2 linked regions of the Arabidopsis thaliana genome follow. The protein of the gene in region 2 interacts with the protein of the main gene of each other region in a pairwise test. Each region holds a gene or a part of one and is shown on either strand. Other genes may lie near its edges. The genes, in order: AT3G60150 and AT5G39790.

Region 1 (4,270 bases), on a different chromosome or scaffold from region 2:
GAGCGTAGGGCAGAGACAGTTAGTTTGTCTTGGGAGGGTGTTGTTGAAGAAAAGCAACATTCTGGTGCTTGATGAAGCCACTGCTTCTGTTGATTCTGCAACTGATGGTGTAATACAAAAGATCATCAATCAAGAGTTTAAAGATCGGACAGTGGTGACTATTGCACACAGAATCCACACAGTGATAGAGAGTGATCTTGTTCTGGTTCTGAGTGATGGTAAGAACAATATACATGTGTTTTCATATACATTCACACACATAATTATGAGGTCTAAGTCACTTTTCTATGAGCAGGACGAATCGCAGAGTTTGATTCACCTGCCAAACTGCTACAGAGAGAAGATTCTTTCTTCTCCAAACTCATAAAAGAGTATTCGCTGAGATCTAATCACTTTGCCGGCTCGAATGATCTTCTCAGCTAAACACCACTAAAAGATGGATGATCTTTTGCAGAGAAAACGAAATATGAATTCCACAGTTAAGCTTAAGTTGAAAGTCTAACTAGTTATTTAGTACTACATAAGTTGAACATAGAAATGGAGAGAGCACCATGGTTAGAAGCATGGCGCATCGAAGAAAATTCAGTTCAACATTTTAATCAGTACTTGTGTTTTAGGTTCTATACTGAGTTTTCAGTGTGTTCTTGGAGAACTATCCATGTAACCAATGGAATAAAGCAGGAATCTATATCTTCTATTTTTTCAGATAAAGCTCAATCAAATTAAAGCTACGTAACAAGGTGGTAATCCTGTAAATTTCGATTTTTTTGCAAAAGTTTTACAAATAGAGTGAAATATATCATTTACAGTAGACAAGAAGACCATGTTGGTGTTTCAACTATAAAGATCGAGTCAAGCTGTTCGAAGTTTGTTCTACAGTATTCCAGAGGTGTTGAGTTTCTTACGATGTAACTCCATAAGGAAGCAATGCAGCAGCCACGATCCTGCCTTCCTCATTGAGTATGTTGTAAGTTGATGCAGCATTTCTCTGGATAGATCAGAGCGTTAATCAATAAGCACAGAAAAATACTCCAAACCAACAGAACAAATACTTGAATAGAACAAAGGACATACAGAATCAACAGTTTCTAGCTTCATGCCGATTGACTTTACGAACTGACGGACTTGGGGATTCAGTGGGTGGTTGTATCTTCCACACCCGACAATCAAGAGCTCTAGAGATTGTTTTGAAAAGAAAAAAACAGAAAAAGGAGAGTCAAAAACCACTGATGATACACTTCAATATGTGCAAAAGGTTTTTACTTTTTAGCCACTAAAAATATGGCGTACGCAAACGTATCATACAGTTTCCAACGATCCTGGAACAAAGACTATTGTATAAGGAATGTGGAAGAAATCAACTTACAAAATGCTAAAATGTATAGTACCTGGAATTGGTCGAACCGTCTGGAAGATTGACAAGCTGCATCCATGAATTAGACATGTAAAGTGTTTAGCAATGACACATTAACTTCAAAGTAGAAAGAGTAGATAGATATTACAAAGTTAGATCAAACACAGCAAACAGATACTAGTACGTACAAGAGAGGCCACACTAGACAGACTTCAACTTTCGCTGAAAAGGACTTAACTAAACATTCATTAGAGAGGGTCATGAACAATGAAAAGATTATAACTTTACGCAATCTCTTAACTCTAGCTCTAGTCCTGTATAAGTAAGCTGAAGAGAAGGGAGAAGGTGGTACTGGTACCTATCCGTTGTGATGTCGGAGAAGTAACGAGGGCTCCATGACATTAGCAAATTCCCAACACAGAGCAAGCTTCCTTCGTATTTAACCCCATTCACAGTGAAACTCGTCTCATCAAACCTGCAAAAAGCACCATTAATTGATTCATTTCATACCCGAAAATCCAAATTCCCTTGCTACATAGTCAAATTAGGAACATGACTGAGAGAGATGAATACTCCTGAAATCGGAGCTGATCCTCAGGAACGTTATCGATGAGATTGATCTGATCGTAGAGAGAGAAAGCTCTTCTGAGAGATGGTAAGACAAGACTGGGCTGCTTCGTAACTTCGTTTCTCATGCTTTGAATCAGTTTCGGCAACGTCGCCATTGCTTTTTGTCTCACTGCCATCTTCACCGTCTCCAACTTCTCCGCGCTCTCAAGTCTAAACTGTTCCCAAGGGAAGACTCTTGAACCAAAGCGGTTTATTGGTTTCGGTTTCTAACCAGAAACCAATGATCCAAATCGGTTTGCACTATTTAATTGCAACCATTCCGATACACTACTTACTTCTTTCTTTTTTTGGTAAGTCAGATACACTACTTACTAAACAGATTGATTATTCCGTTTACGTTTCGGTTAAGAGTTTTTTATTTATTTTCTGTTTACCAATTTAAAACCGAATGTATACAGTAGATTGGTTTGATACTAAATTTTAAGGAATGTAAAACCGTTTAATTTGACTAATGCAAAACCATTTCATAATTTTAAATCGATTTTTAACTATTCGGTTTGTTTTGGTTTAGATTTTTCATATTAATGACGTCAAATCAGAAGGCAATCTTACGGGATAAAAAATATAAATGAATATATTCATCTTTCAATAACAAAAACGCAAAAGCCAAACGTTATGAGTTTTTTTTAATTTTCTTCAATCTAGGTCTACAGTGAAAAGAAGAAAAACAAAACTGGAGTCCACATCTTAGAACGAGAGACACTTCACCACGACTCAGGGACCAGTCTGCTTCGAGAAATGGAGCGACACCGAGTTTGACTCTATTTTCACCAAAGATAACAAAAATCTCCTGAAAACTATATATAAGCTTCGGATATTTTCTGGTGTAACTATAGTAGTTTTATTTTACATCGGACCGGTTGTTACGTTTTTGACTTTGCTCCAATGTTTTATGCCAGCGATAAGTGTTGCTGACGAAGAAGAAAGCTAGCACAAGTTTTGATCTCTGACTGGGTACTGTATGTAATTGTGTCGTTTTTGGCTGCTAAAATGTTTAAGAAAGCCACAATTTGACACTTGTCAGATAAAGATCCAGCATATTTTTGGTGACGTGATGAAAGAGATTGTGGTGCGATCAACAATTTGTTAACGATGTCAAAGAAGGTGATCCTCATCCAATATTATTATAAACTGTAGAAAAAGAAAAAAAACAGTTAAAGAAGTAAAATATTGTTGTAAGAAATAACAAATAACCATGAGATAACAGTTTAAGAATAGTTTATAATATACATCGCCTTGCCGCGAATAAACATTTATATAAACTTAGTTTAAAAAAAAAAAATCATATATATGTTGATTAACGATATATAATATTGTTTATATTATGAAATTTTTTAATTGGCTGTTGAACTCATTTGAAGCGTCGGATTAATTAACAGCTTTAAAATAATATATGTATATTGTCACACAAAGCCAGAACCCATCATGCCAGTATGCCACCCATTAGATTCCAAGAAGAAAATATTACCATGAAAATGTTCATATATTAACATGAGCTAAATTCTAATTAACTACATGTCCAACCATAAGGAATTTAAAAACATAAGGGATTTGAAATCAATAAAATGAAGATGGGTTCTCTATGCCTTGCAAAACACCAAAATGAGTATGAGGAAAATCAAAGGAGCAACGATTATTCTCCTCATCTCTCCTCGATTGGTTCATTGCCATGAAAGATGCAAAGAAACCCGCCGATTCTTCGAAACCCTTAAAAGTCTTATTCCCTTCCGCGCGTGACATCTCCTCTACCTCCTCTTTGTTACTCTCTCCGACGACCGATTTCTTAAGGAACCGCTTAAACCATTTGACCGAATCTTTTGGATAACGTTTGAGACCATTGACAAAATCAACATAGTATAGACCAAATCTTGCAGTGTATCCATGCTCCCATTCAAAATTGTCCATCAATGACCATGCGTAATATCCTCTTACGTCACACCCATCTTCCCTATAAACATATCATAAATTTATTAGTTAAAAAAAACTCGACCGAATTTGATTAAATATTGTCAGAAAGATCAGAGACTAAACCAGAAACAGATCAAGAACTAACACTATAGCTTTGTGAAGTTCTTCGAAATGTGTCTTATGGTATTCAATCCTAAATGTGTCCTTCACAATTTCTTCTCTTGGTTTTGTACCGTCGTCGTTGTCATTAATTCCTGTAATTCAGTAATCAACGTAAATTATTAATAGTCACACCATTTTTTTTTTTTTTTAAATCAGTTTGTTGAACTGGTTAGGGAAATATATTTAAATCAAACTTCAGTTTCAATTCACTGCTAG
Region 2 (5,448 bases):
GGTTGTGCGACTGATGTGATTGGTTGGTTGCAGAAGGAGAAAAGGTTGAGAGATGTGTTGAAAAGTGAGAGATGTATTATAAGAAGATTCCAAAAGCACAAGGAAGAAGATTCGACAGAAGATCAAGTACTTCACTTCTTCTCACAAGTAGACATGAAACTTGTGACAAGAGTCTTGAATATGTCTAAATTGACTAGGGACCATTTGGTTTGGTGTCACAATAAGTTGACTAAGATTAACTTCGTAAATAGAAGGTTACATTTAGATCCTTCCTTTTGTCTTTTCCCTTGTTGAGATTTTTGATATTGACAAATTTGTACATTGGAGTAATAATGAAAATACAAATTTTGGCCTCATATTATTGTTAAGTAAGACTCATAAAAAGTCCATCAATTTTTGGCTATTACACTTGATGACTTTTATTGATTTTCACTAGGGTTGGATGTGGTCCACAACTGAACCAAATTGGTTAATTCCAAAATGTTAATCAAAACCCGGTTATCTCCCTAGTTCATTTAAATGTCTCTTGACCGGAATATACTGAATGGACCAGAGTCTACTGATAATAAAGTCTCTATAGATTCACACACTCGTTTTCCGGGATAACCTGAAACCACTAGTTCTGGTTTAGTACATTATTTCTAAACTCTTCTTCATTCTTCTGTTTCCAATATCTCTTTCTTACAAACCAAGAAATTTCTGATGTACATGGAACCTACCTATCTTCTCTCTATGGATTCAAAGCTAATGCCAAAACAACAATGAAACGAAATCAAAACCAAGAGAACTTTTGAGAGATGGGAAAAATTGATTGGATTTTGTGTGAACAAAAGATAAGAAATCCAAATGACTCCTGCCACCTATTATACTATTCCTTGTATCTAATACTCAGATTCTATTGTCTACAATCTCATCCACACCAATCTTAAATGTTTACGGGTGTAATGCAGAAAGATGAGTGGCTATTCCACCACTAAAACATTGTTCTCCATCAATCCTTCTCCTGAAGTAGGAAACTCGGGTGAGATCTGCCATTCTCCATCCACTAAGAACTTCATCTCGTACCTAAATTTCACAAGAGATTGAAAACACGAATAATTTCAAACATTAAAAGTTGATGTTGAATGCAAAAGAATAAGAGTAGAATAAAATTTAAATAGTACCGCCCGGGACGAAGGAATAACGTTGTGGAGAATTTGGTGAATAAAGCTGAGTACTCAGGCGATAGATCCTCACGTTGGCTCCATCCATCGAACGATCCCATTACTTGTACACTCTTATGTGAAGATAATCAACAAATGAGATTAATTTTGAGGATAATATATTAAGCTTAGAATGTTAAAATGCATAATGTGAGATTATTACACTACCTCTGCCATGCCAATCCAGAACACATGAACCTCCTTTGACTGTGCAGCCTCGACACCTTTTATTTGTTCTTTCATCTTTTTTTGAACAGCTTTAGTGGGAGAAAAAAATAAAAAATTAGTATATCATTCCAGGGATTTGATGAGCGCCTAAATAATGATGAAACCAAGAGGGGATGAGAAGAACCGTCTAAACGAGAGAGAAGGTGCGATTGAATGTACTTTCCACTGATTTTTCTAGAACCTTGTGGGATACCAAGGTTTGCTATTTCTTCCGCCAGTTTCACCAGAGCCTATTTCCTCCAGAAAGTGATATCATGAAACATTTCTACTAAAGAAACTATACATATGTGCTTGTGCATACAAAAATCTGAAGCTAAATATTTCCCAATATTATAACCAACAAAAATATGTATTTGATTGGCAGTAGACATGGGATAATGACAACTAAACCAAATCAGCTTAAGGCAATGAGATAGTGAGACCGTGACATTGAAAAATCAAAAGTAGAAATAAAGACCTGAACTTCGAGCTCCATAAGTGCAAGCTCAGTTTTGATGTTAGTTATCTCATGTTCCTGTGTTTTAAAGCTGCAAAAAGAGTTCAAGTAGTCAACAAACAAGTCAAATAACTCGTTTTGTCCCTTGATACGATGTCTGTTTACAAAGAAAAAAGATGATGTATAATAGCATCAAGAATATAAGTATTGAGGATTAAATCTCAAACAAGATTCATCAAACACACAGATGAAGAACAGTGGAAAGTGTATTTAAGTATGCAAATGATTCATCATCATCTTCCAATTTGATACAATGCCGGTTTACAGAAAAAGAAGAGAAGTGAAGGAAAATGTTTCTGTGACATCACAGACATGTAACTCCCTTAAACCTTGGAGGTTTTTCAGTATTTTTCCAAGAGTGTGATAATATAAAATCTGATAGACACTAAATTTCTTAAATAGAATAGGATATAAGGTTGCAGGTTTCTCAAATCATCTAAGAGAATGGACAGATAGAGGTACTAAAGTAAGTGTATAAATATAACACAAGCACCTGACGCTTGAGGAACCGATTCTGTTGATTAGCTTCACTCAATTTTTTAACAAGCTTTGATCTCTCTGTATCAATGAGCAGTGACTTCAACTACAGAACCAAATGGAGAGTTTGTTAGTTGGTACAGAACATAGTTTCTTTATCATCTGAGAACACATACGCTTAGATAAACAGGAGAAGAAGATAAAGCTTAACCTCATCACTAGTGAGAGGTCGAGAAAGAGATTCATCTAGTAAATCTTCTGACAGTGATGATTCCTCAGTGCCAACACCAACTAAAAATCTCTTCAAAAGCAAACTGTTCTTGTAATGTTTTCGAGTAGAAGCTACCAAAGGATAAGGAAGTTTCTGGAAATGGGAGATTGTGTTCAATCTACACAAATTCCATGCTCTTAAGTTCCATGAAAGAGTAAGGCTTTGGCTGTTGAAGAAGAAGAATCACTTCAACTAATAGAAACTTAAAATACTATAATGATGAATCATAACAAGTTTGGTTTCACATCAGCAAAAATGTGAATTAGAATAAGAAAAAGATATGAAATTTTGTACCTTGAACAACCAAATTCAATTCTGGGTACACATCCTGCATCAGAAAGACTCACAAAATTAAAAACTTCAACTTGTATCATCAAAATTCAGTAATGTCTCACATAAATCAAAATGCTACTTATCTTACATATATACCTAAATTAAACATTAGGGTTCTTTTATAGAACTTGAATTCAACAGAAATGTGAACCAAAAAAAATTAAAAAAAGGAATGATTTTTCGACTTACCCATGATTGGATTAGACTCTTTTCGTCTTGCTCAACACAAAAAAAAATTGATTAAAAATGTCTAATTTGGTTAAAAACTCTCAAAAATATCGAGAAAGCTGTGAAGAAGAAGAAGAAGCTGGAAACACTGATAAACCCCAGAACCAAAAATAAAAAATCTAATTTGTTTTTCTTATCAATGGCTACAAAACACGTGCGTAAATCTAAGAACTAATTTTCAAATATGGTCCCTATAGTTTCAAAGAGTCACATTTTTCCTGAAAACAAACAATTTTCCAAATTCCACCAAAACAAACGACACCGTTTACTGTCTTCAACCTTTAACCTCACTTAAACAAACCCCCTATTTTTTGGCCTCTCTGAGATTTTCACACTCTTCTCTTCTCAAGCTCCGTATTTTTTTCTCAATAGTTGATATAGATCCGTTATTCCATCGATTGAGATTGATAGATTTGGTGGAGAATGACGACGATAGGAGGATTGTTAATGGGGATTGGAAGATCATTCAGAAGAAAGAGATCTTCTTCTCTTGACATTCTCTCTCCCAAAAGAGCTCCAAGAGACTTTTACAAGGGCAAAAACTGCAAACCTACTGGTTTCCACACGAGAAAAGGTTCCAACTTTCATCCTAATTTTGAGAATCAGTTCATTTCTATCTAACACTTGTTATAGTTTAGTTGATAATTGCAATCTTGTGTTATTTGTTGTTTGAACTAATTGTTAGGAATTTACATGGCTTAAGATTGATTCTTTGAGTGGAAAGCTAACAACTTTAACTCAATTGTGGCAAAACTACTAACAAGGAAAGGTTCACTGAAACTGCAACTATTGGTTTGGTTTTCACTTGTCATGCTGCAATCCATTTCTATCTAACACTTGTTTAGTTAGTTGGTGATTGAATCTTGTTGTTCTTGGTTTTGAATTAGATATATGTAACCTAAGGCAGAGCTTTTATCAGTTTAGTTTTCATGCCTTACGATATCAGATTCTTTTGGTGGGAAAGCTAACAACTTTAACTCAATTGATGATCATCATAATGTTTTTGATAATTGAGTGTTTTTATTAGATATATGAAATCTAAGGCAAAGCTTTAGATACCAGATTGTTGTTTAGGAGGAAAGCTAACAACTTTAACTCTATTTTGGCAAAGAACTGATCATCGGTTGCATGTGTTACTAGATTCATAATTGCCAAAATTGAGTTAAAGAAGTTAGCTTTCCACTCAAATAAATGTGGTAGCTTAACTCGAATTGTACATGTGTAGTATACTGTTTTTGTATTTGTTTCTAGACTTCATTTTGGCAAAAAAAACTGATCATCATATTGTATATGTATTTTGCATTTGTTTTCGAGACTTCATTTTATCTTTACCTAAGTTTTATGACATGGTGTTTTTGCAGGAGGATATGTTGTGCAGCCAGATAAGTTGCCGAATTACGTAGTCCCTGATCTCACCGGCTTTAAGGTTTTTCATTTCACCCTCTAAACTCTTATGTTCCTTTTATCTTTGATACTTCTAGTATGTACCTTGCATCTTAATTGAAACTTGAGAACCAAACATTAGTGAGAAATCTTCTTACAAGTCTTGTTGGTAGAATCTCCTTAGGTTCATCCTGATAATTATCTTGGTTTGTTCTTGTTGTAAGGTTTTTGAGTTAGGGACCTGAAATGGGAATGCTTACTTAATTACATTAACCTTTGTTGTGTGATTTAGCTGCTCTGCTGATGTATATCTATTTGGATTTTACAGCTGAAACCATATGTATCTCAATGCCCGATACAAGTCAACACAAACGAGTCAACTGAAGCTTCCAAGTGAAAAATAGTCAGTCAGAAGATATATATGTTTTTAAGTCTTCTTCATAAAGCTTTAAGTTATGATTATGTTCTTCTATTGTCCGTAATCCTTATGTGCTATTCTTAAAATGGGAGATTTGGTTTGATATTTTCACGAAACGATATGCAAAGTAATTGGTAACATGTTTATGCAGTGGAATATATATTCACTTGATAAATTGGATGTTCACATAGTAAAATAGCTTGATACAAGAAAACATTATGCGTTATGCAATACTTAGCAAAATAAACATCAACAACATATTAAAATTCTTACGAGAAGATGAAAAAACAGTCTCACACTCTCTTGAATGAGCTTTGTTATCAGAGAAACATCGAGTTGTCGATAAGAAGGTTGTTGTTGGTAATATCACTCGTAAACAGGTTCTGATCATAACCACAAGGAACATGCGGCA

What was found.
Region 1: the proteins of AT5G39790 (region 2) and AT3G60150 interact in a two-hybrid assay, tested with the Arabidopsis thaliana proteins (one large-scale study listed by BioGRID).

Annotation. Positions count from the first base shown.
Region 1 is NC_003074.8:22,219,982-22,224,251, reverse strand, and holds AT3G60150 (NADH dehydrogenase ubiquinone 1 alpha subcomplex assembly factor-like protein (DUF498/DUF598)), read right to left. Parts: upstream 2,281-4,270; 5' UTR 2,101-2,280; coding exon 1,928-2,100; intron 1,830-1,927; coding exon 1,713-1,829; coding exon of another isoform or gene 1,631-1,712; exon of another isoform or gene 1,424-1,630; coding exon 1,389-1,423; exon of another isoform or gene 1,177-1,388; intron 1,176-1,176; coding exon 1,075-1,175; intron 989-1,074; coding exon 902-988; 3' UTR 740-901; downstream 1-739. Other genes in the region: ABCC9 (multidrug resistance-associated protein 9), read left to right, coding at 1-218, 296-423; DIN2 (Glycosyl hydrolase superfamily protein), read right to left, coding at 3,542-3,932, 4,038-4,146.
Region 2 is NC_003076.8:15,931,922-15,937,369, forward strand, and holds AT5G39790 (PROTEIN TARGETING TO STARCH (PTST)), read right to left. Parts: upstream 3,350-5,448; 5' UTR 3,201-3,349; coding exon 3,197-3,200; intron 3,003-3,196; coding exon 2,969-3,002; intron 2,841-2,968; coding exon 2,615-2,840; intron 2,510-2,614; coding exon 2,412-2,509; intron 1,958-2,411; coding exon 1,888-1,957; intron 1,661-1,887; coding exon 1,555-1,660; coding exon of another isoform or gene 1,460-1,554; coding exon 1,371-1,459; intron 1,277-1,370; coding exon 1,164-1,276; intron 1,066-1,163; coding exon 963-1,065; 3' UTR 636-962; downstream 1-635. Other genes in the region: AT5G39785 (hypothetical protein (DUF1666)), read left to right, coding at 1-294; AT5G39800 (Mitochondrial ribosomal protein L27), read left to right, coding at 3,659-3,809, 4,597-4,661, 4,947-5,015; AGL98 (AGAMOUS-like 98), read right to left, coding at 5,357-5,448. UniProt on the Arabidopsis thaliana protein: Involved in targeting GBSS1 to the starch granule.